Kluyveromyces lactis: one gene and its partners. The protein of the gene in region 1 purifies or fractionates together with the protein of each later gene. This does not show direct contact. Links are inferred from orthologs where the notes say so. Each region holds a gene or a part of one and is shown on either strand. Other genes may lie near its edges.

What was found.
Region 2: the proteins of GLC7 (region 1) and FIP1 purify together in Saccharomyces cerevisiae (affinity purification with mass spectrometry; 4 studies listed by BioGRID). This does not show direct contact. The link is inferred for Kluyveromyces lactis from reciprocal best matches to the Saccharomyces cerevisiae genes GLC7 and FIP1.
Region 3: the proteins of GLC7 (region 1) and IMP21 purify together in Saccharomyces cerevisiae (affinity purification with mass spectrometry; 3 studies listed by BioGRID). This does not show direct contact. The link is inferred for Kluyveromyces lactis from reciprocal best matches to the Saccharomyces cerevisiae genes GLC7 and IMP21.
Region 4: the proteins of GLC7 (region 1) and CFT1 purify together in Saccharomyces cerevisiae (affinity purification with mass spectrometry; 6 studies listed by BioGRID, with this or other methods). This does not show direct contact. The link is inferred for Kluyveromyces lactis from reciprocal best matches to the Saccharomyces cerevisiae genes GLC7 and CFT1.
Region 5: the proteins of GLC7 (region 1) and JIP4 purify together in Saccharomyces cerevisiae (affinity purification with mass spectrometry, with the first as the bait; 4 studies listed by BioGRID). This does not show direct contact. The link is inferred for Kluyveromyces lactis from reciprocal best matches to the Saccharomyces cerevisiae genes GLC7 and JIP4.
Region 6: the proteins of GLC7 (region 1) and PTA1 purify together in Saccharomyces cerevisiae (affinity purification with mass spectrometry; 11 studies listed by BioGRID, with this or other methods). This does not show direct contact. The link is inferred for Kluyveromyces lactis from reciprocal best matches to the Saccharomyces cerevisiae genes GLC7 and PTA1.
Region 7: the proteins of GLC7 (region 1) and PTI1 purify together in Saccharomyces cerevisiae (affinity purification with mass spectrometry; 5 studies listed by BioGRID). This does not show direct contact. The link is inferred for Kluyveromyces lactis from reciprocal best matches to the Saccharomyces cerevisiae genes GLC7 and PTI1.

Annotation. Positions count from the first base shown.
Region 1 is NC_006042.1:1,158,250-1,161,899, forward strand, and holds GLC7 (type 1 serine/threonine-protein phosphatase catalytic subunit GLC7), read left to right. Parts: upstream 1-1,296; coding exon 1,297-2,232; downstream 2,233-3,650. Other genes in the region: EMP24 (Emp24p), read left to right, coding at 2,958-3,557.
Region 2 is NC_006041.1:534,278-537,863, reverse strand, and holds FIP1 (cleavage polyadenylation factor subunit FIP1), read right to left. Parts: upstream 2,110-3,586; coding exon 1,222-2,109; downstream 1-1,221. Other genes in the region: BUD4 (Bud4p), read left to right, coding at 1-1,008; transcription factor IME1, read right to left, coding at 3,007-3,586. UniProt on the Saccharomyces cerevisiae protein: Polymerase-regulating component of the cleavage and polyadenylation factor (CPF) complex, which plays a key role in polyadenylation-dependent pre-mRNA 3'-end formation and cooperates with cleavage factors including the CFIA complex and NAB4/CFIB.
Region 3 is NC_006037.1:36,164-39,858, reverse strand, and holds IMP21 (Imp21p), read left to right. Parts: upstream 1-1,657; coding exon 1,658-2,725; downstream 2,726-3,695. Other genes in the region: peptidylprolyl isomerase RRD1, read right to left, coding at 32-1,093. UniProt on the Saccharomyces cerevisiae protein: Controls the nucleo-mitochondrial dependence of galactose, maltose and raffinose utilization. Becomes essential in the absence of functioning mitochondria.
Region 4 is NC_006039.1:879,865-884,806, reverse strand, and holds the start of CFT1 (cleavage/polyadenylation factor CFT1), read left to right. Parts: upstream 1-1,501; coding exon 1,502-4,942. Other genes in the region: PRO1 (glutamate 5-kinase), read right to left, coding at 1-1,163. UniProt on the Saccharomyces cerevisiae protein: RNA-binding component of the cleavage and polyadenylation factor (CPF) complex, which plays a key role in polyadenylation-dependent pre-mRNA 3'-end formation and cooperates with cleavage factors including the CFIA complex and NAB4/CFIB.
Region 5 is NC_006042.1:240,838-245,761, forward strand, and holds JIP4 (Jip4p), read left to right. Parts: upstream 1-2,124; coding exon 2,125-4,464; downstream 4,465-4,924. Other genes in the region: KLLA0_F02640g (uncharacterized protein), read left to right, coding at 34-687; KLLA0_F02662g (ADP-ribosylation factor-like protein), read left to right, coding at 967-1,728.
Region 6 is NC_006037.1:330,478-335,486, forward strand, and holds PTA1 (RNA-processing protein PTA1), read right to left. Parts: upstream 3,037-5,009; coding exon 562-3,036; downstream 1-561. Other genes in the region: HAP5 (Hap5p), read right to left, coding at 3,588-4,058; SNX3 (Snx3p), read left to right, coding at 4,351-4,845. UniProt on the Saccharomyces cerevisiae protein: Essential in pre-tRNA processing. Component of the cleavage and polyadenylation factor (CPF) complex, which plays a key role in polyadenylation-dependent pre-mRNA 3'-end formation and cooperates with cleavage factors including the CFIA complex and NAB4/CFIB.
Region 7 is NC_006042.1:1,903,828-1,907,662, reverse strand, and holds PTI1 (cleavage polyadenylation factor subunit PTI1), read right to left. Parts: upstream 2,187-3,835; coding exon 942-2,186; downstream 1-941. Other genes in the region: UGA1 (4-aminobutyrate transaminase), read right to left, coding at 1-26; KLLA0_F20504g (sphinganine kinase LCB4), read left to right, coding at 3,234-3,835. UniProt on the Saccharomyces cerevisiae protein: Component of the cleavage and polyadenylation factor (CPF) complex, which plays a key role in polyadenylation-dependent pre-mRNA 3'-end formation and cooperates with cleavage factors including the CFIA complex and NAB4/CFIB.

The DNA of each region.
Region 1 (3,650 bases):
TCTCTAACTTATCGGGTAGGGCAGAACCAACGAAGTGAGAACACATCCAAACCAACGGATTCTATGCCTTGGTGTTGCCCGAAATAGCAAGGTGCGGTAGCTTATTGTACGCCCTTGTTTTATTTACTATATGTATTTTTTCATGTATCCCTAATGGAGAATGTAACGAACTGCAGCCTGCCAGCTCTTTACATCTTGATTCTAATAATAAATATGGTAAACGAGTGGAAAGAGAAGAAGAGAAGAGAAGAGAAGAGAAGAAGAGAAGTAGGCAAAGAAGGCAAGGGACGTAAATGTCAGAGGCTGCGTGCGCGAGCTGCGGTGCGAAATGCTAGGCAGAATATAGACACTGCTACTGCTGCTGCGCAGCAGCAGTAGCAGTAGTAGTAGCATCTTTGCCATCGAAACCCGACATCTCTGAAATACCTAGCACCCTCCCGCTCACAAACAAAAACAGAACACAACCCATTCCATAACTAAATAGTACATATACGACACTTGGCAAGGCAACACTGGGCACTAGCCCCATCCCTAGCCCCAGTTGGTTTTCCAGTCCAATGCGAAGCGATACCAAGCTGACACTGCGACTTCTTTTCTTTTTTTCCCATATGAAGGAGAACAAAAGTGAAAATTGAGAATTGAAAACTTTCGGTAACGCTTTTTGGCATTACTTACAACTTGTGTTTTATTCATTGGGAAAACACGGTATTTTCAGTGTTTTCCTTCCCATTTGTTTCCGGGAAGATCATCAGTATTGGCGCCAGCTCGAGTCAGGTCAGTGTGTGGTTATTGGCGACAGGTTTGAACACAATACGAAACGGTGTAGATCTCGTTTTTCGGGTTATTTTCTAATTCTATTTTTTTTCCTTTAAAACTCTGTGTGTGTTTTTCTATTATTTTTTCTTTCAATCAATTGATTAAAAAAAAAAATTAATATTATTAAAGAAAGATAATTATAAAACATAAGAGATTGAGAGACTTACGTTCATACGAAGGTTAGAAAGAATACAGCAGGGTCTGTTTGTTTGTAGAAATTGGAAGTGAGACAATATTGCATCTTCAAACCAGGGTAATTTCTACTAGTACCTTTTTTTATCTTTTAAAGTTGCGGGCTATATTCTATAATCTGTTTGCTTCGTTAGGAAAAAAAAATAAGGATTAATAAGAACCAATACTTTTGGATAATCCAAGACACGGAAGCATCACAGTTGCCATCGGTTACTTCAATTATTAAGAACGTTTGATATAGTACCGCGATAATTATAAAACAAAGGAACAAGGAATAAAATAAGAAAAATGGATCAACAATCAGTAGACGTTGACGATATCATTGATAGATTGTTGGAAGTGAGAGGGTTGAAACCTGGCCATCAGGTTGACTTGGAAGAACACGAGATTAGGTATTTATGTTCCAAGGCCAGATCTATTTTCATCAAGCAGCCAATCCTATTGGAATTGGAGGCACCAATTAAGATTTGTGGTGATATCCACGGTCAATATTATGATTTGTTACGTCTTTTCGAATACGGTGGGTTCCCACCAGAATCCAACTATCTGTTTTTAGGTGATTATGTGGATCGTGGTAAACAATCGCTAGAAACCATTTGTTTACTGTTGGCTTACAAGATCAAGTATCCGGAGAATTTCTTTATCTTGCGTGGTAATCACGAATGTGCATCGATCAATAGAATTTACGGGTTTTACGACGAATGTAAGAGACGTTATAACATTAAGCTTTGGAAAACTTTTACGGATTGTTTCAACTGTTTGCCTATCGCTGCGATTGTCGATGAAAAAATCTTTTGTATGCATGGTGGATTATCCCCAGATTTAAATACCATGGAACAAATCAGACGTGTGATGAGACCCACCGATATCCCAGACGTGGGGTTATTATGCGATTTGTTATGGTCCGATCCGGATAAAGATATCGTTGGATGGTCAGAAAACGATAGAGGTGTCTCGTTCACTTTTGGTCCTGACGTAGTGAGTAGGTTTTTACAAAAACAAGATATGGAATTGATCTGTAGAGCACATCAAGTCGTCGAAGACGGATACGAGTTTTTCAGTAAAAGACAATTGGTAACATTGTTCAGTGCTCCAAACTACTGTGGTGAGTTCGATAACGCTGGTGCTATGATGTCTGTTGATGAAAGTTTATTATGTTCGTTCCAAATCTTGAAACCAGCTTCTAAGTTATTGGAACGAAACGTAGTGAGAAGAAAGAAATGATGAATTTAAATTTAAACCTTCTTAATCATCATCATCATCATCATCATCATCATCATCCTCATCTCTCCCCCCCCTTTAAACAACGAATCCCATCTCAAAGAAAATCCCCAATGAAAAAACCAGAAAAAAATAAACTATTAAATTCAAACATAAAGTATAAGATATATTACTGGAAAAACTTGCTGAGCTAGAACGTTTTCCTTTATACCTTTCTAATATATTGTAACATAATTTCTTTGTCGAATGTCAAGCGGGCTGCTACAATTTCAATTTCAAACCTTTATCTCCACTTTACTCTCTTATCACCCTTTTACACATATCCCATCATTCATGTTATTAGTATATATATACGCAGTGATATATACATATATATATATATTCTACATATTGCAAAGGAAAATTCTGTAGATTAGCCGTTGAGCCTTTTTCCATACATCAATCGACTAAACCAATAACACGTACGTTAACATAGTGCTGTAGACACATCGTGTTTTTTAGCATAGACTGAAAATTTTGGAAAACCCTCTTTTTTCGATCTTTCTATGTGTTATTTTTTTTTTTTTTTGGCAAAAAGTTGAAGTCGTGTTTTATTTGACGATCTGTTACTTACATGACATTTGTATTCACACACTTCATCGAGTTGAGTCCCTTCATCTTTGTTATTGCACTACCCTCAACCGTCTAGTGAAAAACAACTAGTAGCCAGAGAGTCCTTACATATAAGAATGCTATTACAATTTTTGGTGTTACTATTTGCTGGTTTGTGTAACGCACACACGGTACATCTACCAGCGTACGGTCGTCGTTGTTTCTTTGAAAACTTGAACAAAGGTGACGAGCTATCTGTATCTTTCCAATTCGGTGATAGAAACCCTCATGGTACTGAACAATTGACTGGTGATTTCGTTCTATATGGGTCTCAAAGAAGCGAGGTCTTGAAAACTTTGAGAGACGTGTCACATGGTGACGTGTTTGTGAACGCTCCATACACCGGCAAGTTCCAATACTGCTTTTTGAATGAAAACTCGAACATTGACACTAAGGACGTGACTTTCAATGTTTTCGGTGTTATTTATGTCGATTTAGATGATCCAAACACCAGATCTTTGGACGGCTCAGTGAGACAATTGTCCAAACTGGTCAAAGAAGTGAAGAACGAACAAAGTTACATTATTATCAGAGAAAGAACTCACAGAAACACAGCAGAATCCACTAATGACCGTGTCAAATGGTGGTCTGTGTTCCAATTGCTCGTCGTTGTAGTGAATTCGTTGTTCCAGATCTATTACTTGAAGAGATTTTTCGAAGTCACTTCGTATGTGTAAGTAAAACGAAAGGCATGGCTGCATGAAGTATATCAGATATAGTCGTCGTGTATATTCAAAGTAAAAATATGTGTATATGTATATCCAGGTTTT
Region 2 (3,586 bases), on another chromosome or scaffold:
CGCCATAATGCAAAGTATTGCATAGAGTTTGATAATGGAAAAGAGGTTATTGAAACACCGTGGGAATCCATTCCGGAAGATGGTCCTATTAAAATGAGTCAGGAATTTGAAGTAAACATGGAATCAAATAACGTCACTTTATTCATGACTATGAAAATTCGATACACAAGCCCTCAAAATCAACTAACTGAGGTTGTAGAGAAGATTCCTATCAAGAAACGATTTGCGTTCGGCAAAACAAAGTATAGGCTTGAGAAAAGGTTTGTTACTAAGAAATTGAAATATGACGATTGGGACTTCAAATTCGCAAAGGATGGTTCATTTGCACGCTGCCAGGTAAATGTCAATAAAAATATGCTGAAACAAATCAAATACAAAACAAATGAGCTACACTTTGAATTCCTCAATGAATGGGAGCGCGAATTTGATGAGAAAATCGCACAAACATATAAAGAAGACGAATTATGGAAACTTCCTCGGAAAAATCCATCTAAGGTTTGCTCTCTTACAGTTGATGTGATGTATCTTCCAAGAACTTCGTCCATGGAAAGATTCCCAAAGAATCTGAAGGCAGTTCAGAAGTGTTGCGAGAAGTATCTTGAACAGCAAAGGGTCAATAATGAAGGATTCCTGTGGCAAGAAGGCGGTGATGTAGAGGGAATGTTGAAAAGAAGATATATGATTTTGAAAGGCACTGAACTTATAGCTCATGACGAAGTTACCAGAAAACCACAAACTTTGTTGAATCTTCTAAACGTAGTAGATATATACTCTGATGGTAAAACGGCAACTGGAAAACAAATGAGAAACTTTACTGATATGGTACTTTTCAGCGATTGCTTCAAACTCCTTTTTGCAAATGATGAAGTTATAAATTTTAACGCTGATTCTAATCTTTTAAAACAACAATGGGTTGAAATTTTGACCAGCGTTGTTGAACTGAATAAATTCCATCAACCATGGATCAAAAGAGTTTTTGAAAACGAACAATACAACATTACTTTTTAAACTGTTATAGTATTCAGATATATAGTTTGTCTTTGCCATTTTTTTTGAAGTATAGTATATTAATGTCATTTCTCTAATTATAACAAATGTCAACATGAGGTCTTTAAAACTAAGCTGTGTTACAATTCCATCAAGGAATCGAAAATACATGTACATGTCCGCTATATATCATTAATGTTGCTTGCAATCAATACGAGCCTCAAGCACTAAATTTCATTTCTTGTCGTTGAGATTATTATTGTTGTTGTTGTTAATGTTGTTCATGTTGTTCATGTTGTTCATGTTGTTCATGTTGTTCATGCTTGATACATTTTGATTTTGCATGTTATTCATCATACCCGGAAATGGAAATCCTGGGAAACCACCAAACATGGGGGGAAGTCCCATAGGCGGAGGAGGAGGTTGGATTGTATTCTGTACAGGTTGTCCTGAACCTGGATCATTTAACTTTCCTTGCTGCTGTAAAGCTAGGAGGTTCATCAAAATCTTTTGTGGGTTGTATTCTTTCGTCAAATGTTCTTGTCTATGTAAATATTCCATCCAAGTCTGTTCATTAAATCCATAATTGAAATAATCTGAAATATTCGCTCCTGGTTGTCTCCAGGGCTTCTCCTTTAGAATTTCTGGATCGATCTGTACTATAGGTTTCCCATCGAATTGTGCATCCGGGTTCAAATCAATAGTTTGTTGTTGCTGCTGCTGCTGTTCAGGTGGTATTGAACCCTCCTGTACAGGAACCACGTCCGATATACCAGCCACTGCTGCAATAGCATGATCCGCTGTACCAAGAGGCGTTGTGTCTGTTATAGCAGATATCTGGGACTTACCAGAATCTATCTTAGAGGTATCGTTACCAGTTCCGATGATAATCTCAACATCTGAATCTGAGTCACTGCTGTCATCCTCATCTGATGAACTATCCTGATTGGAGGCCTCACTCTCTACCTCATTCGTATTACCTTCCGGTACATCATGAGCTAGTATCTTGGGTGTTTCTTCGACCTTTTGTCTTTTCAATGCAGGACCCTCTTGCTTTGCGACTACGTTAGAATCCTCCTCATCGCTGTATAGAAACTTATCGTCTTCATCCTCACTGCTCATAACGATTCGTTTCTATATGTCGTTCGTGGACTGGTAGAAGATTTATCAATAAATGCTTGGAAAGTTTGGAAGGCTGCGCAACCCAAAAGGTATCTTAACAGGAAGATAGTTCTTCTTCTCATATAGAAATCAACTAATAGTTAACTCTCAATGCTAAGATTTACCAAAATGATGCTGTTAAATCGACGCATATCCGGGTAAATTATTGTCGTATTCAATGACAAACATTTCTAATGAATATCTGTCACCGGACAGCGGACAGCGACTCAGCTTGTTTGGACGGAATGTATAATATGGGTTAAATGTGTAGCTAATGAGAATACATGATTTACAGAAGAATTAGATGTGCATGTTGCGGACAGTATCGATTTCCGATGTTAACGAACTTGAAAGAATATGCGATGGTAAGAATTAAAGATATGGAAAAGTAACAAGGGAAACCAAAGAAAAAAGTGCATCTTATTGACGAAGCATAATACTTTGTCCTGTTTTTTCAGAGTAAAAGTGTGAATTAATTAAAAAAATTGACAGAAAACAACAGAGGAAACAAACATTACAGGCGAGTGAGTGTCTTTAATGTGTTGAAAAGAGTCAGACATTGTTGAGAATGAATGTTCAAAAAAGTCGATTGTAAACTGCAATTGAGAAGTGAATGTTCTTTTTTGAAGTGTTTATGGGACCTGTAAGGTTGACTAAACATGGTCACCTTGTGTCCGCACCCACAGAAACAAAGTAAAAAAAAAAATGGAAGGTAATTTGAAATGAAGTAGAGAATTAGAAAGGAATGAATGTAAGAAATATGATGAAGAAGGAAAAAAATATGCAGGTGTATCATACAGGCAGTCTATAGCAAAGGGGGAAAAATAATATCTGGATAAAAGGATGAGGATTGTTCCATCAAAAATACGTCTTGGAGAACTTGTAATCAATTTCTTGGAATCTAATCTTATCGAAATAATCCAAATCGTTAGAATCAGCCAAGAAATACCCAAAATAAGGTAGTAACTTGTTAGTTAGCGTGTAAACAAACTGATCCTTTTCCGAAACGACCGAATCTTTCTTTGAAGATGAAGAGGAGAACATGATGGGTGCCACCAATGCACGTTGCTGTTTTTTCTTCACTGGAGCCATGCACTGCAAGTCATTGTCCAAATCTTGCTCGTCTTCTTCCAGTAACACGTTGATACTTCTTGTAGAAGAGAAAACAGAACTGTGTCTTGTGTCAGCCAGTGAAGGTGGTGTAGAAGAAGAACAAATAATTCTCTGTTCATCTTCTTCTTCAAAACTCGTCTGTAAAAATTTCAAATTGTGAACGTGAATCAAATGGACAGGCTGAGTATGGATCATCGACGGCATATGGATGGACCTTGGCTGTAAATCGTGTCGACTGATAACATGCTTCTCATGAAAATCAAGGCTTACATCATCTTCGAGATCAGAAAGTGCCAATTCACCATGCCATTCCATGTTAACTCCA
Region 3 (3,695 bases), on another chromosome or scaffold:
AGATCTTTAATCTCATCCCATATATGCTGTGTTAACGTCTGTGTATAAACCTAGATGTGCTTGTACTCAAAGGTGGAGGCATTTTCGTAGTAGCATTGTTTGCAGTCAAAAAATCAGCATCGTCGTTATTTTCTGCAGGCTGATATATTGGCAAAGAGTGATTGTTACCATAACTCGTCCATGGGAAAAATGCGGTTCCGAACCAAAAGTGCTGCACGACTGGAAACTTATTTAAAACTTCTACCTTGTACATTTTAATCAAACCCTGTTGCATCTTGTGCCATGTATGAACACTCCTTGATATGTTGTAGAGTAGAGGAGAATGATTGGAAAATGGGCCCGATTTTACGACATTAATGAATCGTATTGATTTGCAAAATAGATTGCTAGAGCTGTTTTGTTCCATCAATCTAGTATTAGAAATATCCTTTGGTATTAAAGAAGTATTCACATCTAACAATTGAGTGGCTCCTAAAATGTATGAGAAATGAAAATGATCATCTAGCCCCCAAACGCCATGAGACCCAGCAGGTTCCAATTTATAGGTTAAGATTAGTTTCTGAATCACGTCGTAATATGAATTGAAACAATAAAGTAGCGCCGGCCCCTTTATTGTTTCAATTTTTAGCATATCCAAACAAATTATCACAGCTAAAAAGGACAATTCATGACCAGTTCCATAGTCAATTCTTTCCTTCGATCCAAATGCATTAGATATGTAATATGAAAGTTCTATGATGCTGTTGTTGTACTTTTCGGGCAATAACTCATGCAACCAATTCTCCAATTGGTTTTGAAACTTCGTTTGCCAATCTCTGTATGAAAGGTTTCCATATCTACTATGCATTCTCTCAGGAGGTGTCTCGTCTATCAAGGCAGACAGCCTTTTGAGTAGTTCCACTACGATATTAGTGAAAAAACTTTCTTTGATTGTATCTGGTATCTGCTGGCCCTTACAAAGCGTAATATACTTCTGCAAGTGATATTGTATTCTAACCATTGCGACTGAATTCTGGAAGTCAAGGGTACCCTGACTATCGAATATTCTTTTCTCTGGCATTGAGAACTTGGCGTTCTCATAATCAAAGTCCATCTCTTAGTTTCTTATCCCTTATTTATCACCGTTATATCATAACAACTCTCGATTTAATATTTGCAGCTTGAAATATGTGCGGGAGAATAATTAGAATGCAATATTTGATACGTCCTACAAGGAAGGTATTAGTTTTCAAGATCGCCTCCCCAAAAGTTACAAGAGAAACTGCTATTTCATATCCTTTCTTAGCATTTCAGTCTGTAGAATTCTAACTTTTTTTAAGCGTTCGCAGTACAGGCACTGAAATTGTGAAGTGATATGAAAACATATGATAAAAATAAAAAGCCAAAATAACCTTGAAAAACGATTATACTGCTATGTTTTCACACCAGAGAAAAGATTCCTAATACAAGTCACCAGTCACACATTTACTTTCTTTATCCGCGACACTAGCTTGTACCTGTGAAATAATTTTAACTTTTTGTATCACAGCTAATACTATTCTACTGAATTCACAGGACGAATATTTAATCCAACATCATTGAAATAACTATCAACTTAGCTTCAATCTCCGGTCGCAGACAAAGTATACTACAAGTGAGCCATTGAACATATTTAGACATGGAAGAACCTGGAAGAGGTATTTTGAATAAGAAACTAACTGATGATAAGCATCTGGCTGCGCCTCCAGCGTTTCCAACTATAAAGATAGAGGAACCAGAGCAAAGAGGTAGGTCCCGGAGTAAGACAAGAGATACCGGCATATCATCAAGCAGATCGATATCAAGGTCTGCGAGTCGAGTAAGTATAAAGGACCAAGCCTACCTGAAGTGGACAATATTGAATAAGGACCCTTCAGAAAGGTTACATTTGAAGGCCAAAAAAGGAAACACTAGAGATAGCGTATCTCCAGGACAAGAAAATGGTGGTGACGAGGATGAAGATGAAGATGAAGAGGAATTCATAGAAGATAGAGAAGACGATGGTGAGGTCAGTGAGGAGGAACAAGTGAGTGATGTAGAGAATGAAATAGAAATTGATGAACACATTGATTATGATTTAGGTTGTAAAGTTTTACCGAACTTTGTTACACCAATTACCCAAGTACTCGACTCTATGAAGCCATGGCTAGCGAAGAATGCTGAGATTAAAACAGAAGCAGACAAAAGAGATATCAAATTGGAAGAAATTCAACACGGAATACATAGAGCTGTCTATCATATGAGCAAAGGAGACAATATTACCGCCGCAACGAGCGAGAAAGGCCACTCGTTCGTTGTTTACTTGGATCAAATGGATGAATCTTTTGCTGAGAAAATATACGCCTTAGTTTACTCTTTCGGTTCTGTTTTCACTAATGGGGACACTTTGTACATCATAAACCAATGTGACGACGATACCAACGATATGCTATTTCAAATGAATCGAATTTGCGATCACATAGATTATTTATTCGAATGCACCAATGGAGTTGGAACCTTGGACAAAATTGACGTCCTAATATGTTCAATGTACCATCCATATCCGAAACAATTACTCACTGAGATGGCACATTCCTTGCAGCCATCGTCGATTATTATTCCGTTGCAAACGGTGTTGGCATCATTACAAAATTTCATAACTTCAGTACCGATGCTTGTGATTCGGAAGAAATTGAAGAGATCAAAGCGTAGAGGGATAGCTGACTGATATGCACTACTTCAACAAGCATATAGCCGTTACTATACACACATATATAAACGTAAACTAAAACTTAATACACGTGATCAGTAAAAACGCCATTGTCAATATGAAACGAAATAACAAATGCTACTGCTGCTGAACGAAAAAATTAAGGCAAACATACAGGGTAATTAGGACGAAATTCGTTCATCTATTGACTGAAGAGAAGGAGCAGCAACATAACCAAAATTTGTGGGGAAAGCCAATAGCAGGATCCGAAGATTGTGAAAACACTAATTTAAAAAAAAAGGCATGGAGATGGAGACGAGACATTTACTTGTCCAATTTTCACCAAGTGTGTATCTCGGGAGATATCGGATGACATGCAGCAAGCTCGGATTAGCGCGCAAGAGTGAGTTATTGGCCGGGTAATGTCATATACCGTAGTCTTTCCTTTCATCAAGAATTTAAAGTTTGGTACCCCTCATTCACTTCAGCGTACTGAGAGATTTTCCTACTGTTTGTTTGCATGGGGTTCAATCGCTAAAAACATTCGATCCACTAAAATTGACGAGCTTGCAATAAATCAAGCTGGCAACTTTCTTTCATGAACACCTGGACGTACACACACATCTCTTCCTATCGTGGCTATTTTTCCTATTTTTGCCTTATACCACAAGGATATAAAAAACCATTATACAGAATCGAAACATTCAAGTATTCCCCTACGACTTGCCTATTACGCGGTACATAGTAAAAATATAGCCTACCAATCGCAAACTATACAACTGTATGCATTGCTTGGTGAAACTTAAACAAACACGCTGAGGTAAATCATTGCACCTTGAATGCATTTTCTTGTCTTTATGCTATAAGCAATAAATGAGAAATGCCCCAGTACCGCCCCTCCGAACTGTCCAAAATTGTTCCAGAGTTGTTCCGATACAGGAATAGCAGCACCGGAGATAATCCAAGCAGAGCATCTCTCCATACCATC
Region 4 (4,942 bases), on another chromosome or scaffold:
TTAATTTTTGATAACTCTGTGCTTGTATAGTTGCAACGAGCCCTACCTACTGTTTTCAGTGCAACGGATTTATCCAAATTTCCATCTGAATCCCTGACTCCCAATTTTATATCTATACATTCATGTTCATGGAAGCTCCCTTGGACTTCAATAACGCCTGCAGGTAACAAACCAGCTTTGTTTTTCCTCGTTAACGCTTCGTATGCACCAATGTCTATAATTACAGCGCCTTGACTGACGAGTCCATGAAGCATCCAGAATTGTCTGTTCTTCAAGTGATGATGATTACTATTGGCAATAAACCTAGTATGAAGAGGAACATGATTATTAACTAAACTTTGCATCTCAGTGAGTTGTAGGTCAGCCAAATCTTGTGTAAGTTCATTCACGCCATCGTCCCTTTCCTGCATGTAGAGAACAATTTTGGAAATGTTTTCTGGAGTGTCGCTCTTCATAATGATGGTATGGACACCAGCATTGGTTGCTAATTCTGCCGCAATAAGCTTAGTCTTCATACCACCAGTTCCAACATCTGATCCAGATCCACCGTCTGTGTTCACACCTGGCAATCCTTGTGATATATCTGGAACAACCAAGATAGGTTTTGCATCGGGATTTGCTCTTGGATTATCAGTGTATAAACAGTCAACATCTGTCAATAAAAATAGATAATCAGCACCAGTCAACGCTGCTGTGATAGCTGATAATGTATCATTATCACCAAATTTGATTTCGCTCACAGATAAAGTGTCATTCTCATTAACGATTGGCACTACTCCCATGGAAAGTAATTCACTAATAGTATTCTGTGCATTCTTATACTGAGTCCAATCAACAATGTCATTTCGAGTAATTAGGATTTGAGCAATTCTCTGATCAAATTCAGAGAACAAGGAATCCCACCTCCCAATTAATCTGCCTTGGCCCACAGCTGCGATTGCTTGCACCTTGGATAGTTTCTTTGGCCTTCCCTTCATATTCATCGTTTTCAATCCGACGGCGATACCTCCACTAGATACAATGATAACTTTGTGTCCTCTTCTGCGTAACTTTACCACAGTCTCCACAATCAATGACATGATAGAAAGTTTTGGTTCTTTGGTCTCTTCATCAACTAGTGATGAAGATCCCAATTTTATGACTATGACGAACTGCTTTACCATCTGAACTTGTTGGAAAACGTTCTTCTTCTCGCGGTCCGTAGAAACCTTTGGTTACAGAAATTTCAGGCCAGATTGACTAATAGCTGCTGCTCACAGACAGTACACTATGTTTATATCTGTTTTGCAGATGCAGTTATTCATCTTTTCAAATGGTCTGCAGATGTCATCGAAACATTTACTTTCAGTTTCTGTGAATTTTTAAATATTCACCGGTTCTTCAAAATATAGGTAACTATCATTACTAAGAACACTGGAAACAGACGAGCGTAGGTGGGCATACTAGCACTCTTCAGTCACACCTGAATCTGAAACGTTTAAATATCGGGGATAGATAATAAATGAACGTTTTTGACGAGATATTGCAACCCACTGTGGTTAATAAATGCTTACATGGGAATTTTACGTCAGCGGAAAGGGAAGAATACGTTGTTGCAAGAACCAATGTTCTCTCTGTATTCAGGGTCTCGCGAGCACAAAAGCTTGTACTTGCATATGAATGGAAACTAGCAGGTAAAATCATAGATATGCAATTACTGCCCCAAATTGGATCGCCTCTTAAGATGCTTGCAATACTTTCGTCGAAATCCAAAGTATCGTTGGTAAGGTTTGACCCAGTGGCAGAGAGTCTTGAAACACTAAGTCTGCATTATTATCACGACAAATTTGTCAATTTAAGCACTTCTTCTTTGAAGACGGAGTCCATTATGGCAGTGGATCCATTGTTTAGATGTCTTCTGGTTTTTAATGAAGATGTTTTAGCTATATTGCCATTGAAACTGAACACAGAAGATATGGAAATTGATGAGGATGAGAACGGAATAAAAGAGCCAATGGCTAAACGCTTAAAAAGGAACCAAGGAATCACATCCGATAGTATAATAATGCCAATTTCTAGCCTTCACAAGAGTCTCAAGCATGTCTATGATATAAAATGGTTAAATAATTTCAGCAAGCCAACTGTGGGAATATTATATCAACCGGTACTTGCGTGGTGTGGAAATGAAAAAGTACTTGGAAATACTATGAGGTACATGGTTTTGAGTTTAGATGTCGAAGATGAAAAAACCACCGTGATTGCTGAGCTTGCAGATCTTCCGAACGACCTGCACACCTTGGTTCCACTGAAGAGGGGATATGTGTTGATTGGTGTCAATGAATTATTATATATCAGTGCATCTGGTGCACTACAATCGTGCATACGATTGAACACATTTGCAACGTCTTCAATCAATACAAGGATAACTGATAATTCTGACATGAATATCTTTCTATCAAAGAGTTCAATATATTTCTATAAAGCTTTGAAAAGACATGATTTGCTTATTTTGATAGATGAAAACTGCAGGATGTACAACATTATTACAGAATCAGAGGGTAATCTACTTACCAAATTTGACTGTGTACAAGTACCGATTGTTAACGAGATCTTCAAAAATTCAAGATTGCCGTTGTCGGTATGTGGTGATCTCAACTTAGAAACTGGCAGAGTTCTTATAGGTTTTCTCTCAGGTGATGCAATGTTTCTGCAACTTAAAAACTTGAAAGTGGCATTTGCAGCAAAACGACAACTTGTTGAAACTGTTGATGACGATGACGATGAATACAGTGCACTTTATGGAGAGTCTCAAAATAATACTCACACCAGAATCGTCGAAACACAAGAGCCTTTCGATATATCATTGTTGGACTCCATTTTCAATATCGGTCCTCTAACATCTCTTACTATTGGTAAGGTCGCATCTGTTGAACCAACTATTCAGAGACTTCCCAATCCTAACAAAGATGAATTCTCAATTGTAGCTACATCTGGAGTTGGGAGGGGATCTCACCTCACTGCATTGCATTCCACTGTCCAGCCCCACATAGAACAAGCCTTAAAATTCACAAGTGCGACCCGTATCTGGAATTTGAAAATAAAGGGAAAAGACAAGTATCTTGTGACTACAGACGCTGATAAAGAGAAAAGTGATGTATATCAGATTGATAGAAATTTTGAACCTTTTAGGGCGCAAGATTTTAGAAAAGACAGCAGAACCATCGGCATGGAAACTATGGACGACGATAAACGTATTTTACAGGTAACTTCAGGAGGATTATATCTATTTGATGTTGACTTTAAGAGGTTAGCAAGATTAACTATTGATATCGAAATTGTTCATGCGTGTATTATTGATCCATATATTCTATTCACGGATGCTAGAGGTAACATCAAAATTTATCAACTAGACTCTAAAAATAAAAAAAAATTCATCAAATTTAAGCTTCCAGAGGCTCTCAATGAAATTATCATCACATCTGGTTCCATTTTCAAGAGTAACATTTGCAACAAATTCCTACATGGATTGGAAAACTCTTCACAAGAACAGCTTCTCTTCACATTTGTAACGGGCGACAATCAGGTTATTTTCTTTACCGAAAAGCACAATGACAGGATATTTCAGTTAAATGGTGTCGATCAGCTAGAAGACATGCTTTTTATAAGTACGTATCAGATTCCTGAAGAAATGAACCCGGACCCATCAATAAAGCAAATCATGTTAAACAGATTGGGCCATCATAAGAAAGAAGAATTTCTAACTATTCTTACGTTTGGTGGGGAGATCTATCAGTACAAGAAGTCGACAAAGCACAGCGGTAAACTCTTAAAATGTAAATCCCATCCTCTAATTACCGGTGCTCCTAACAATGCATACCCTCAAGGAGTTAATAAAATAGAAAGGGTTGCTCATTACTTCCCTAACTACAATGGATATTCAGTAGTATTTATTACTGGTCAAGTACCATATATCATAATCAAAGAAGATAATTCGGTATGTCGGATATTCCGGATGACTAATATACCTATTGTCACAATGGCTAGGTGGGGTAAAAACTCTGTGATGTGCGTAGATAATATTAAAAATGCAAGAGTAATGAAATTAGATCCTGAATGTTATTATGGGAATACTCAGATTCTTAGAAAAATCATTATTGAAGATGTTGTTGAGGAATTTGAAACTTTAGGAAATATTGCGTACCATGAACGGACCGGAATGTATATCATCTCCTATACCAAATTCATCGAATATCAAGCTCTAAGTGAAGATGGTGAGCCCCTTGTAGGTTACGATCCAAGCAAACCAAATAGTACTGGGTATAAATCTGGACTTCTTTTGATCAATCCACTCACGTGGAATATCATTGATCGGCTTGACTTGTCTGAGAATTCCATGGTAAACGACATTAAAACCATGCTCATTCAGTTGAACTCAAAGACTAGAAGAAAGCGGGAGCTGGTCATTATCGGAAGTTCTTTTGTAAAAGAAGAAGATCAGCCTAGCACTGGCTGTTTACTGGTTCTGGATATAACAGAAGTGGTGGCCGAACCAGGCAAACCAGATAGTAATTTCAAGTTTAAACAGCTCTTTGAAGAAGAAATTCGCGGATCTGTGAATGCTGTATGTGAAATAAGTGGGAGATTTATGATCGGCCAGAGCTCAAAAGCGCTTGTTCGTGATATGCAAGAAGATAATTCTGCTGTTCCCGTAGCGTTTTTGGATATGCCTGTGTTTATTACCGATGCAAAGAGTTTTTCTAACTTGATGATAATAGGAGATTCAATGCAGGGATTCACTTTTGTAGGTTTTGATGCAGAGCCATATCGAATGATTGTATTGGGTAAAAGTACCTCCAAATTTCAAGTCATGAACCTTGAGTTTTTGGTGAACAACGGGAATATCAATTTTATAGTCACTGATCGACAAAACCACCTTCATGTTCTAAGATATGCTCCAGATGAA
Region 5 (4,924 bases), about 920 kb from region 1:
CCAATTACCGTTGTCCTGATAAGTTCAATAACAATGTCTGAGAATACGACTTCTGCTAAGGGCACAGCACAGAGCATTATTGCTCATATGAATAAAGATCATAAACTTGCATTAGAGGATTTTCTTTATGTATTTGGTAATGTGCCAATCACAGACCAAATCAGTAGCGTTAGATTGAAAGAATTTGAATTGGACCACATGACCATATTATTCCAACATGCTGCCATTGATTTTGATATTGAGAAGGTGATTCCTTTTGATCCACCTTTAAGCAGTTTCAGAGATTCCAGAGACAGATTGGTGTCGATGGCCAAGGAGGCTGCCGAGAAAAGAGGAGTGTCGCACGTTATGATCAACGAGATGTCGTATCCTCGAGACTTTGTCGAATATTTGATAATAATTCTAGTGTTCCTACCAATAGTTGTTTTTATGAAGAGAAGCCTTCTACAATACTTCCCATTACCGCAGTATATCATCGATTTTATCTCCAAGGACGCCGTCTTGATATCAATCATCATCGGTGAAATTATCTGCCATGCAGCAGAGACCTACTTCTTATTGAGACCGAGACTCAACTACCATCGTGTTCCAACAGATTTCCTTGTGGAGTGGTATTTCTTCGGTATGTTAGAAGGATACCCTATAGTCAAACGATTCGATGATCTTGCATACCAAAGAACACATTAAATTGTAGATAAATCTATATATACAATTATATATACGGCTTTCACTGCAATTTGATAATGTAGATGTAATACCGTACCAGCGTTAATGTAGCACAAGATACAATTCGGCAGCTATTCTCCCTTGTTCTGTTTTTGCCCTTCCAGCCGGTTTTTCTATAGAAGTTTAGGGTCACTATTATTGTTGACATTTAAACAACTGATACATCGCAATGCTACAATTCCAAGAGAAAGTAGAAGGAAAAACAGACCAAACGGTCATAGCTCGAGCTGTTGAGTAGGTATGGATTGCTTCTGGAAATGGTTCAATCAATTTTGGGATTGGCTTTATACTGCGAGCACTCAGAAACAATTGAGCATTGCAGTTGTTGGTTTGCAAAACTCAGGTAAAACGACTTTCACCAATCTGATAGCTGGAGAGGAGTTTGTGGTCGACACGATACCAACTTTAGGAGTAAACATCAAAGATGTAAAGCTGCCGAACCATACCAATCTAAAGGTATACGATTTAGCCGGCCAAACCCGCTTTCAAAAACTCTGGGATCGATGTTTCCAACAAGTCGATCTTTTAGTGTTCATGATTGATTTATCCGATTTAACGAATTGGGAACAGGCAAAGAACAAGCTTCATGATGTGATAATCGCTACAAACCTGGAGCATGTACCTATTCTGATATTAGGTAACAAAGTGGACCTAATCCCGAAGTTTCATAGAGATTTATACGTTGCCAAGTCGGATGTTTCAGATCAACGGAGTTCAGTAGAAAACTCTGCGAGGAAACAGACATGGAATTACGTCTCTCCCTTGTTACACAATTATGAATACGAAGATATACCGAAGTATGATTTAAATCCAGAAAATCAACACGTATTAAGCAAGGTAGAGGTTCTCTCGAAAGAATTGGGCATAGACTTGAAGCACGGATTGCTTCATTTACCACATGACTCGAAAGTCAAATTAAACAGAGACATCGCCCTATTCTCAGTAAGTTGCAAAGACGGAACTTTGATAGACACCGTCATCGATTGGATCCTAGAATTATAGTTGTGCCTTGATATTTAAAAAGAAACCTCGATTCGAATATATAATTAAGTATGAACTGTCACTCAAAGGTATCATATTATCCTGCTTTTTCTATTCTATGTTACTAACTTTCAACTTTGCAGCATTTTCTCCGATCTTGTCATTATGAAATTTAAAGAAAAAGTTGATTATTGAAAGTATTATTATACCAAGACATATTATTCAGAATGCAACTGATAAGGGTTCAAAAGGTGAAGAAACTACTGGGTAACAATTGCGCTTGAACTGCAAAGATACGCTTAATTCAGAAAGTTAAAGTTTTCCCTTCGATAATTTTACGTAACCGGAGAGTTCTGTTAATTGGTTATTCAACGAATTCAAGTATTTTTATTAGGGAAGCAAAAGCCAAGGAGTCCGATGCTGGAGAAAACAGATCCTTTCTATTATAAGAGGGTGAAGTTCTGTCTGTGTGATCACTGTACTGAAGGTTCAGAGGAATTGCAGAGATACAAGAGTAATTATAGCTCTGACAGTCGAAGTTCTGTTGATTCGTTACTGAACGGAGCCGGCGAAAAGTTGGTTCCAACGGTTTCTTGGGACACAGTACCTATCGAGGGTGTATCTAACGAGGAATCAGGGTACGACAGCGATCCTCATAATTTGGATTACGCTCTGGATCGATTTTACGATAGTGATGATTCACATGACGATATACGCCATGGCCGGGGATCATCAAGGACTCACTTGGGAATCACCCCAACCCTTACAGACAGAGTACGTGGATCCTCGCCTATGAGACCGAGGCAAAACAATGATTTCACATTTCAGCTTGATGTTGGAGGCAGTAGCAATAATCCAAAGATTTTCTTTGGCCCTAACGGGGAAATCAGAAGAAGGGACTACCCCAGCAGACCTGTTTTATTTAATAACGCGTTGATCAGGACACAGTACCATAAGGATTGGAAGCATGAGTGGAGACAGCGAGTAGAAAAAATGGAGGAGAGAAAAGAGACCGGCGTCAGTACGTACTTCAAATTTCCTGAGATTCTATTTCCGAAAGTGAAAGTCGATTTAACAGATGCCCCTTTGGTCAACGACAATGGGGAAATGATACAAAAGGAAAGAAGGGCTAGCATCAAAAGACATTTGAAAGTTGTTCGAACCCCTGTTGGATTGGTAAAGACGCCAAGAACTATCCTTGTGCATATAAGTGGTAGAGAACATACATGGGTTGCACTAGATTGGGCTATGGCCGAATTGGCTGAGGACATTGATTATATAGTTATTATTGCAAATATTCCCAGAAGAGATTGGTCGACTAGAAGTGGTTCTTATACGAGATCGAGGTCAGCATCGAGATCTCGCTCTCGTTCTAGATCTAGGATGAGATCTGTCTCTCGGACTCGGGAATTCGGTACCGATGATGATCAACCTGATGCTACTTGGTGTGACGGTTGCACGGTTGGGGAAGTAAATGACTTGCTTCAGCGGCTCATCGAATATTCTACTTTGATCATGGGTGGTAAGAAGCTCAAAATAACAGTTGAAATTGTGATCGGTTCGACTTCGCAAATATTGATTGATTCATTAAATGCGTACGCTCCAGATTTTTTTGTCATCGGCAGTTCTATTGATAAATATGGCTCGGGATCAGTTGTTGTGCATAAGTCAAGACATTTGGCTCCGGTGCTGATGCAGTATTTCCCTATTCCCGTTTTTTTTGTGGCTGCAAGGAGGATGGGATGGTTCGAAAAGAAGTTGCAGCGAGATATTCTATTCAAACAACGAGTCTTACCGTCAGATAAGGACACTGATCTGGATGTCTCATCATTCAGTGTTTCCACAACGGAAACTGATGACACTGAAAACGAAGACACCGATGATGATGATGATGTGGAGACAACATCAAATTTGTCTTTAGGCAACAGAGAAAAAACTGTAAAGCAAATTCAAAAGCTAAGACACAATTACCGTTGTCTTGTTGACAAAAAGCTTAAATTATTGGATGAAGATACGGGACTTCCAACACCTGAACAATATTATGGGAAAATGGATTCTATCATTAATGCTACTTTGAACTTCAACAAAGAGCTCGAAACCTGGGGTGACTCTGCCGATATGGCTGAGATCAAAAGAAGTATAACAGGTGGTGTACGGCCCAGAGTCATGAAGAAGAAATCTATGCTTGATTTCTCGGATCTTCCTCCCAAGAGAAAATCAAAAATTCCAACTGAACATGAGAACTCAAAGGAAACAATGGACTTCAATCAAAATACTTTCAAGAATAAAAAATTACCCAAAGTTGTGTTAAGCTCACCTCCTCCATCCCGACCAGTATCCCCACTCGCTAACAATGGAGAGGGAGGTATCAAGTTTGCTAACTCAGTGAAATCAAAGGATGGAAAGGGAGCTATTCAGCGCATCAAGTCTTATGATCCATATTCGCAGAATTCTGATCCATTTGATAGAGAAGATTCTGCGCTATCATTGAGCGTGGTAAGATCTCATCAACCCAAGTCGGATTCAACTTCGTTGAGGAAAGTATTGAGTACAACTTCTCTAGATAAGAAAGAGTCGAAAAAAGGTAGACTTCTTTCATTTTTATTTGGGGGAGGCTCCAATAACAACATTGGTTCTAATAGCTCAAATTCAAGTCCAGTGGTCAGCGAAAGCAACTCAAGGAGAGGTAGTATTGCCAGTCAATCTTCAAGTGATTCGACTAAAAAAAGGAGAAGCATATTTGGTTTAAAAAAATAGCTCCCAAATTGAATTACTAAAACCCTTTAACAGCTAGACTGTTATTCTAACTCATTCTATTTTTCATTTAGTTCTTAGAGGATAATCATGTATATAAAGTAATCGAAATTGCCCGTTAGGCCTACTATTAACTGCCAGTTACACAATTTAATTTTAATGTCACATTTAAGACTTGAAGTTAGCTTGCAAACGAAAATTATAAGACAGGAACTGCAACTTCGTCAGATTTTGTATCGTTCGAGAGTTCCAGAGCGACAATTTAAAACGATACAGCCTATATTAATCTGATCCTATGCTGATATTTACGTATCCAGCCAAAATTATTTTGGTGACGTTTGAACTGAAGATAGGCCACTGGTGTTTGTCATTTAACATCCCTGTTTTAACGTGTTTTCACATAATATGATTTAAAAGAAAATGAAAACGCGAAACAAGTAGTCGTCATCGGAAGCAATGAGAA
Region 6 (5,009 bases), on another chromosome or scaffold:
CTACCTTCCTGAAGCAGTCTAACTAATCCAACAGATGTTAAACACAATGAATAAACGCACACCTCTTTTCGGGCCTTGGTTCGTTCTGTTTATCACTTTCACTTCCTCTGACTTAGTTAGATTCCTGAAAACATATTCAAGAAGAAGCGATGTTGAAATTATTTTTTTTTTCAAATTTCAGCGAGACGGCATTAGTTCATTTCTTTTTCTCAAAGAAGCTCTGTGTGTGTCCTTTGTTTCGAAGGGAAACGAGAACGAGATGAGATCGTGCTGTGCGTGCGTTAACTATATGTTTTAACGATAATGTGGCTAAAAGGTTATATTTTTGAAAACTTCAAATTTCTCATTAAGTGACTGATACATGGTGGAATTTCAGCCAAACCTATTGGGCATTAGCGAGCTATGATTCTCTTTTATTCGTTGACGGTTTGATAGGAAAGTAGTAAGTTTCTCCTTACATATTGCTTTTGGAACGCAACCAAATTGCAATATCTTCGACGGCTAGTATATAGATATATAAATTTAGAAATCAGGGTTTACATTGATTCAGAATAGCTTTACTCAGGAAAAATACTTGTTCAATAGTGAATCGCATTGTGGTTTGATACTTTCGTCTACTTCAGCCATAGATTCGAGGGCAACTTTGATGAACGGTTTCACTGGAGGTCTGAACATCAACATGAATTTCAAAGACTGGAACCCCAATACCGATCTAGTAGGATCTAAACATAGTGATTTCATCTTTTCGATGTGTTCTTGAGTAAGTAACGGCATTTCACTGACCATTCGAATAAACAATCTTCTGTGGGAGTCATCAAGTTTGGGGATCATGAAATCTAGCACCTTTACTGACCATTCATTATATATGGTATGATCTTTACCATCGGAAATCAATTCCTCATGGTACCACTCTTCACTTAGCCATTCAAGTACAAGCGTGATTCTGTTCTGGAAATCCTCACAGAAGTAGTCAAAAATTGCGTTGGTGACAATATCTCTCACATCTTGATTCGATGACACTCCTCTAGAGCAGAGTCTAGATAATAAGAATACCCAGGAGGTCTTATTGTCCCAATTCATTAGTAGAACTTTGTCCAATGGATTTGTACTTTGTAATTGTGTCATTGGAGTGCTCACATCAGTTTTAGTTGGTATCAGTAATATATTCTGCACAATTCTTTGCAAGTGAGTCAACTTCTCATCATAAGTTAAAGTTGGAACACCCAAGGATACTGTATGACTGCTTGATGGTTCTGCATCTTCCACTCTTTCGATCTTTGCCCTTTTGCTTTCTGGTGGCTGTATAGGAGCTGAATCATCAATTACGTACCTATCGTCCGCAGGCTGCTGTAAAGGTTCTTCGTTTTTCATTGCAACTTCTTGCTTTATTGGCAAAGCTGCAGAATTCTCTTCTCTGGGACGTTTACTAGCTTGACTTTGGCTACTGTTGTTGAATGGGACTGGACTACTATCGTTGGAGATAGTTGCGCTCTGTTGTTGAGCATTGTTTTGTAACCACTTGTTTATCAAATCGGTGTACCTGGACGCAACTATGGATAGTCCATTAATGGCAGTACCTGTGTTTGTGTTACTTAAAGCCTCAGTACATATTTTAACCATGGTATCTTGAGACAACTTCGAGACATCGAATCCGGAGGTGACGGGGTTCATTAAGGCAAAAACGGCAGAATATGAGTTATCGACAGAGGTATGAGCAGGATTCAAAAAATGTGGATGCTTTGTCGTGGATTTAGTGAAAGCATAACTCTGAAGGGATTGCAATACAGAAAGATCAGGCGGTGGGGGTGGAGGAGCAGGTATGTTCTTTACGGGGGCATGTATCTGAGGTTGAAAATTATTCAGTAACGGTGGAGTAGATGCCGTATTCATCATTGTATTTCCTATCATTGGCGAAACAATCGGTGGCATTTGAATAGGAGACGGAGATTTCGTTGTCGCTGAAAATGTTCCTGATGAAGAATCTGAAGAAGAGTCGTTAACTTCCTTCACTCTAGTGTATTTTTTTTTATCAGCTGGAGTCATTTTATGTTCAATCGCAGCCGGATCATAATTTAGAATACCTTTAGCTTTGGTCTCTTCGCCAATAACGAATAGAGTCTGTGAAATTTTAGCTAGTTTGTTTCTATACTGTGTCATGGATCCACTGTTTTTGAGTAGTTGACTTTTAATTCCGAACTGAACTAAATTTCTGTAACAACGTTCCACAAATCGCTTTGCAAGTCTGTATTGTAAAGTGGGTTCATCATCTCTTTGGAATTTCATGTCAATGTTGAATTTCAGTAAAGCGGATGCGATTCGAATTGTGGCCAATGGTCTCTGCTTCATAATAAAAGAAAGACTATGAAGAGCACCTGTGAACCATGGTGCACACATCATTGGTTCCTCAATTAAAAAAGTTAACAATTTATCTAACAAATATTTGGCTTCAGCCTCCAACGCTTGCTTATTAGATATCACAGGATGATTTTCTGGTATACTTCCCACGCTAATTCCGGGTCCTGAGGTGTGCACAATAATGATTTTCGAAATGAGCTTCACACTTGCTAATTTTACCCCCGTTCCTCTTGAATGGTTATTTAGATCATTGTCAGACAAATCCAAAGGATAGCAGGTCTTCCAGTTGGCAATGATAAGTTCTTTAAACTTTAACATTACCGACCAAAGTTTATCATCAGAAGTCTTTGCTACTAAATCAAATAATCGGTCATAAATATTACCAAGACATAGTATACAGTTTTTGTAAGTGACATAATCTCTTGTTTCAGCCATTTCCCAAAGCGCAGTGATGTTTTGACATACAATGAATGGTTTTTCACTTGATGGAATCTTATCATGAACCAATATATCCAATAATAACTGGGTAGAAAATCTCGAGAACCCTAAATTCCGCTTATCATTTAAAAACAATGTGATACCGGTCTCCAAAACCTTAGGAAGCATTTGTTCCGGCATATGCTGCATTGCCATCGCAGCTGCCTGTTGCAACTGGACTAAAGGGTCTACAGAAGTTGACATAGTTTTCTATACTCAGCAAACAGATGATTGAAAACTCACTGGAACAAAACAAAAAAGTACTGACTGTTGAGGTGCTTTGTTTAAAGTTTAACACACGGTTTATAGTATCAACCACGCTTGATGCTATGTCTGACTTGCTCTTGCTGTTTCTGCGCTCTTCAGTCACTTGTGGTTTCTTATAGTCAAAACGAAATCTGAACTTAGTGTTTAATTTTTTTTTCAATTTCATGTTCGTGCTTATAGAGAAGAGAGACTGTGAAAGAGAAAAAGCTACAGATGGTACAAACCTGCCCGAGAATATTTATGGATTTCAGACAGTAATTGACATGACATTTGTAACATTTACTTCGATTGAACTGTATATTACTGATCATGAAATTCACAATTTGTGAGTTAATAATGCTATATTGCTAGAAACAACTAAATAATGTCATAGCTCACCGATGTCGCATTTTTCAGAGGTCAACTGCCTAATCGGTTGAAATATGTAAGTGGGGCATTGTGTTGATTTCTCTCATTTCACTTTATACGCTAATGATTTGGCGGTTTGATCATTGAACGTTTCTGGGTACTATGTCAATCAGGAAATCGAACATATCGGACTTTTGTAATGCATCCGCAATGTCTTGCTTCTGCAACGTACGTCGCTTATTTTCCTCTGCAACACACCATGCTCTCATTGTGAGTTCTGTGATGAAGATTTCGCAGGCTTTTGCAAATAGAATTGGAGCCTCTCCACTAATCATTCTAACTTCTTCGTCAGTTTTCATCACTTTCTTAATCCTTGCTAGTGGTAACGAATGCGATTTGAAGTCGTCTTGGAATTGTGAACCTGGCTCATTCGTGGATTCTATCTCATTAATAAGTTCCTGCCAATACTGTATCATAATTTCTCTGTATCTGCCAGCAAGTCCCTGGCCGACATTATGGAATACGTCGATCTCTTCATCTTCTTCGAGATCCATGAGAGGTCCTTGTTCGTTTGTTACGTTCTCTTGATTATTAGCTGCCGGTTGATCCATGGTTTCGAGGTAAGTGTCATCGACAATATCAGTTAGATTTCATGTGGATCTGTGCTGCTAAGAACAGGGTACGATTTCAATACAGATCCACTCTTAGCATATTATGCGGTTTCCTGAAATCGTTTTAAGGATATGATTGTGAAAATAATATCTATGGCTTTTCATTATAAAAAAGACCATTTATGAAGGGTACCTCAACCAATTCCTGCAAAGTAACGAAGGTGGGTAAAGAGTGAATAATACCTTGAAAAACCTAATCGGGCAAGGTCCACGATTATATGGATTCGGTAATATGTGCCCCCAAAGACAGTTCCAATCATTTACTACAACTGCAGAGTCTACACTTTCACATACAACTCACAAGCAATTATCCGGTGCAACAATTTATGATGAGCCAGAAAACTTTCTAGAGATAGAGGTTTGCAACCCAAAGACTCATTTCCCTAGTGGCGATGCTAAGGGAATGTATACAGATTATGAAATTATATGCAGGACGAATCTTCCTGGCTTTTCTAAAAGATCGAGTTCCGTTCGAAGGCGGTACAGTGATTTTGAACTATTCAGAAAGTTGCTGATCAAAGAATTACAACTGAGCAACCATCCGAAAGTCTCAGTACAACATTTGCCAGGAAAGATTCTCCTTTCAAACAGGTTCAGTGATGCAGTTATAGAGGAAAGACGCCAAGGCTTGAACAAATGGCTGGCATCTGTCGCTGGGCACCCTCTATTACAAACTGGATCAAAAGTCCTCGTCCGTTTCATTCAGGATCCTACCTTCCAGGGGTAGTAATATTAAGCAGATTTGCCATCCTAATATAACTTTCGCTAGTGGCAGTTGACATGAGTCGGAAAGTCTTGATGTACTCTGTTTATGGAGCAAATTACGTAGAATGTAGTTTACAGTATATCCAAAAAAGTATATAATATTTCATGTTACCTTTAACGGAGACG
Region 7 (3,835 bases), about 750 kb from region 1:
GGGTAGTACTTAGCAGCAACGGACATCTTTTCCTAATTCAAATGATTACTCTGTGCTTGTGGACTGGGTGTAAACTAAAAACACAATTACAAACAACATGTAAATTATAGAAACTGGTTCCTCTAGTTCAGAGAGAACAATCTACCCATGGATTTATATACGATTTTTTTTCCCATGATTCATGTGCACCTCATCTGTATAGTCCCGCGCTCCCTTTAAGAATCGCCTTGCTTTAATTTCATAAGCACTTTTTTTTCATTGATCTCTAAGCTCAATAAGCACAGTGTTTTACGCTGTAGTAATTATCCGCGCGCCATTCAAAAAATTAAGAGCAGCGAATAGGTATTTTAACGAATAGGTCGGTGAAACTGCGACGGAAACCTCTTCTGCCCTCTCTTCCTCCTTCCCTCCTTTCCTCCTTCCTTCCTTATCAGCTCAGATCGGCACTGATGATACCTGATATAACATACTGAAAACAGAAACGGATTACTGCAAGAGAGGACTTGACAAGTTTTTCTTTTTACACACGCACATAAACAAATATCTATCTAATCTCTCCAAAGGATCCTGACACAAAGTGCTCCGTGTTGCTGTGGAGGGCGGCAGCTACCGCCAAAACATTCGAATAGTAGCCCAATCGTTTCGGCATTTCTTTCCCTTTGCGCTTTCCTTAGACATTTCCCTCGACGTTCGTTTCCCTTCATTTCGCCGCATGCATTTGACATCTTCCTGTTTTGAAATGTCGGTTATTTCAGCTTTTTCCATTTTCAGTTTCCTGTATGAGCCAAGTCGTTAAAGAGGAAAACTTGCGCGCGGAACTTTTAGGTTGGGAAACACGGTGGTATACACTATAGATAGAAAGAAAGCCTTCGAGCCATTATGGATGACTAAGAGATAGGAATTGTGCTATGTATTTTTCTTGTTATTGCTATTATTATTATCTATAGAAGGTAGTCGTTTTTGAGTTGCTGTATTAGTTGTTGCTGGCCTGGTGGAAGAGCCATTATGTTCGTTATGGGCATCGAAAGCGCAGTTCTGATCATGTTCTGTTGATCTTGCGGCAGTAGCGAAAGTTTTGCCTCGTTGAACTGCTGTGGGGTGTTGGCAGCGTTGGTTGTAGCGGTGGTGGTAATATCACCACCAGTACCGTTACCACCGCTGTTAATGCCTTGAGCCGTCTGGGGTACAGACGGCTCAGGTAGTTGAACTGGCGGCAGAGTTGGTACTGTAGGCGCGGCTGCGGCAGGCGTGGGTCCAACAGAATGTTGGCCCTGCATTTGGCCTAGAACATTTGATATCACGTGATAGTTTATCAACCCCATTTCTAGCATTGCCTGAGTGACAGCTACCGTTAAGTCAATGTTAGTCTTCAAGAATTGTTCCAGTTGTGGCTTCTTGTTATGCTGGTTGGCTAAGATCTTCAAGTTTGATAGAATCTCGATCATTTGTAACGTAGGAATCTTCGATAGATTTTGAGATACCACATCCGGTGCAGTCATCGAGCCCGGTTGGTATGCTGGTAGATGCTTTGATGCCCGTGCTAAGATCTCTGGGATCTCTATCTGCTGTGCCGGTGCCTCGTTCGCCTTCGAGGCAAGGTTATCCGAGGCAGCATTCGTAGATGCAGTGTTATTCTCCGAGGATAGTGTGCTTCCTGCGTCACTTGTTATTGGTTGCACCACCGGCAACGGCTTTCTTGGTAAAGGTACCTCACTTACCATTTCAAACGGTAGTTCTAATTTGTAATCCCAGGGAAAATTGTCTCTTGTGAACTCTAACGGTTTCAGTTGGTCTATTTTCTCTAACTTTTCTTTCCAATCTTTGGGAATCACCATGGACATCCTACATGGGAAATGGTTTATCTTATTTATTGAATTTTGGGCCCTATTGGCGGAGGAAGAGTCCCTGAAATCTACATCTACCCATTCAAGACATCCTCTTTCACTTCCAGCTCCAGCTCCAGCTCCAGTTCCTTTTCCCCCTTCTCGTTCTCCTGCTTCTTCGACCTCATCCACGTATTTCTCTCTAACGTCAACTATATATCCAGAACCAGTTATCACAGATGTGAAGTTATCCTTGTTCCACTGAGCAGGTATGTCAGTAAAACGTATGGTAGATGAAAGATTGTGCGGGGTCAGTTCATGCCTGCTTTTCCTAGTACGAGGATCCTTCTGTGGGTCATGCATACTTTGACTGTGTTTAGTTAGAAACCAACTTAAGAGTATTTCACCGTTTCGATATATATATGTATTCTCTAAATTGCAAACTTGTTATCGCAAATATCTGACTGGTGTCTAGTAACTAGTATTATTTTGCCTCACAATGAATCGTTACGAACATACATAATTACATATTCATTCTTTCTAGTCGACAGCAGATTTCTTAATTCATTAGTATGGCCGTTAGTCTTTAACGATGCTTAGAATCTTTTTAAGTTAACATTCATATAAGAACAATATCCGGGTAATAATTGATTATATATCACGTGCCAACTGATGTTTCTTTTGTTTTGTATTTCTTAGATTTACATGAAATCGAAAATCAGGAAGCCTTCGAAGTTAAAACGTAAAGATATGATTGATGAATAAGAAACTGTTCTGTCCACATCCAATATCAGCCAGAGTATTGTTAATCAAGCCTCTACTATTTAAGAAAATTGTTCTAAGGATCTACTCTCGTGGTTTGTTATCTAGACAAGAAGACAGTCTGATAAAAAAAGCATTGCGCATCGGTTCTTATATAAGCATCGTGAACCTAGGAAATTTGTTTAGAGAATTTGTCTGTGAGAATTCTAGTTTAACTGGTGGATAGTACTATACTTTATTATCATTTCCAAGAAACGTTTCCATTTATCATATTTATGACAACGATTTGGTGTTCTCCGTTTTCAAGTTAGATATATCAAATTAAATCGAACTGAACTGAAAGGAACAGTAATATATCCGTCATCCCGAAAACATACCCCCTGTGATTTATTAGCTAGGTATTGATAAGAGGATTCATCAGAGAATAACAGAAGACATAGTCATTGATCTTGTTTGACTGTATCTCAATTTTGAATCAGTCTCTTTTTTTTTGATTTTGTTTTGCGTTATTTTCACGTAAAGGTGGAAAAGAGGTAGTTAATTATTCTTGTTGAGTTGCCAAAACTGTTGTGGTCCAAACAGAGATCAGAGTCTGATTCAGATATTTCCCTTCATCTGAGAAAAAGGAAACAGAGGGCTGCAAGAATAATGAGTAAGCTGAGCAGGAAGTATCATTTGCCCTATACAAGAGCCATCATTGGCGAAAATGGTTTATTGATTAAAGATCAATTTACGTCCGGTCCTTCAACAAGCTCATCGACGCTTTTGGCACGCAGAAGTAATGGAGGTGATTTCGGCGATGACGAGGATGACGAAGACGGCGATGCTTCTGGGAGCTTCCAATCTAGTGTTTTTGAAACAGCTTCGTTAATCAGTTGTGTTACTTGTCTCAGCGACACGGAATCTAAAGATGAGAATGAAGCTCTGCTGCTACCTTCAAATACGGTTATTCCTTACGCAAAGATTCTTGATGTCACGAATATGGAAGCAGAAGATGATGGTTCCCCATGGCCGGATCATACTGCATTGATTGAAGTCACTTTTGCAAAGCCAAGGAGGAACCATTTAGTCCCAAAAACAATAAAATTGAGCGTCGATACTTCAGTGTTTCCTAATATGGGAACTGATGTGGCAGAAGAGATCTTGAATAGAAGTTATAAAAACACTAAGAGAAACAAATCAATTCTAGTCATTATCAACCCACACGGTGGTAAGGGTAAAGCCAATAAATTGTTCTTGTCCAAAGCCAA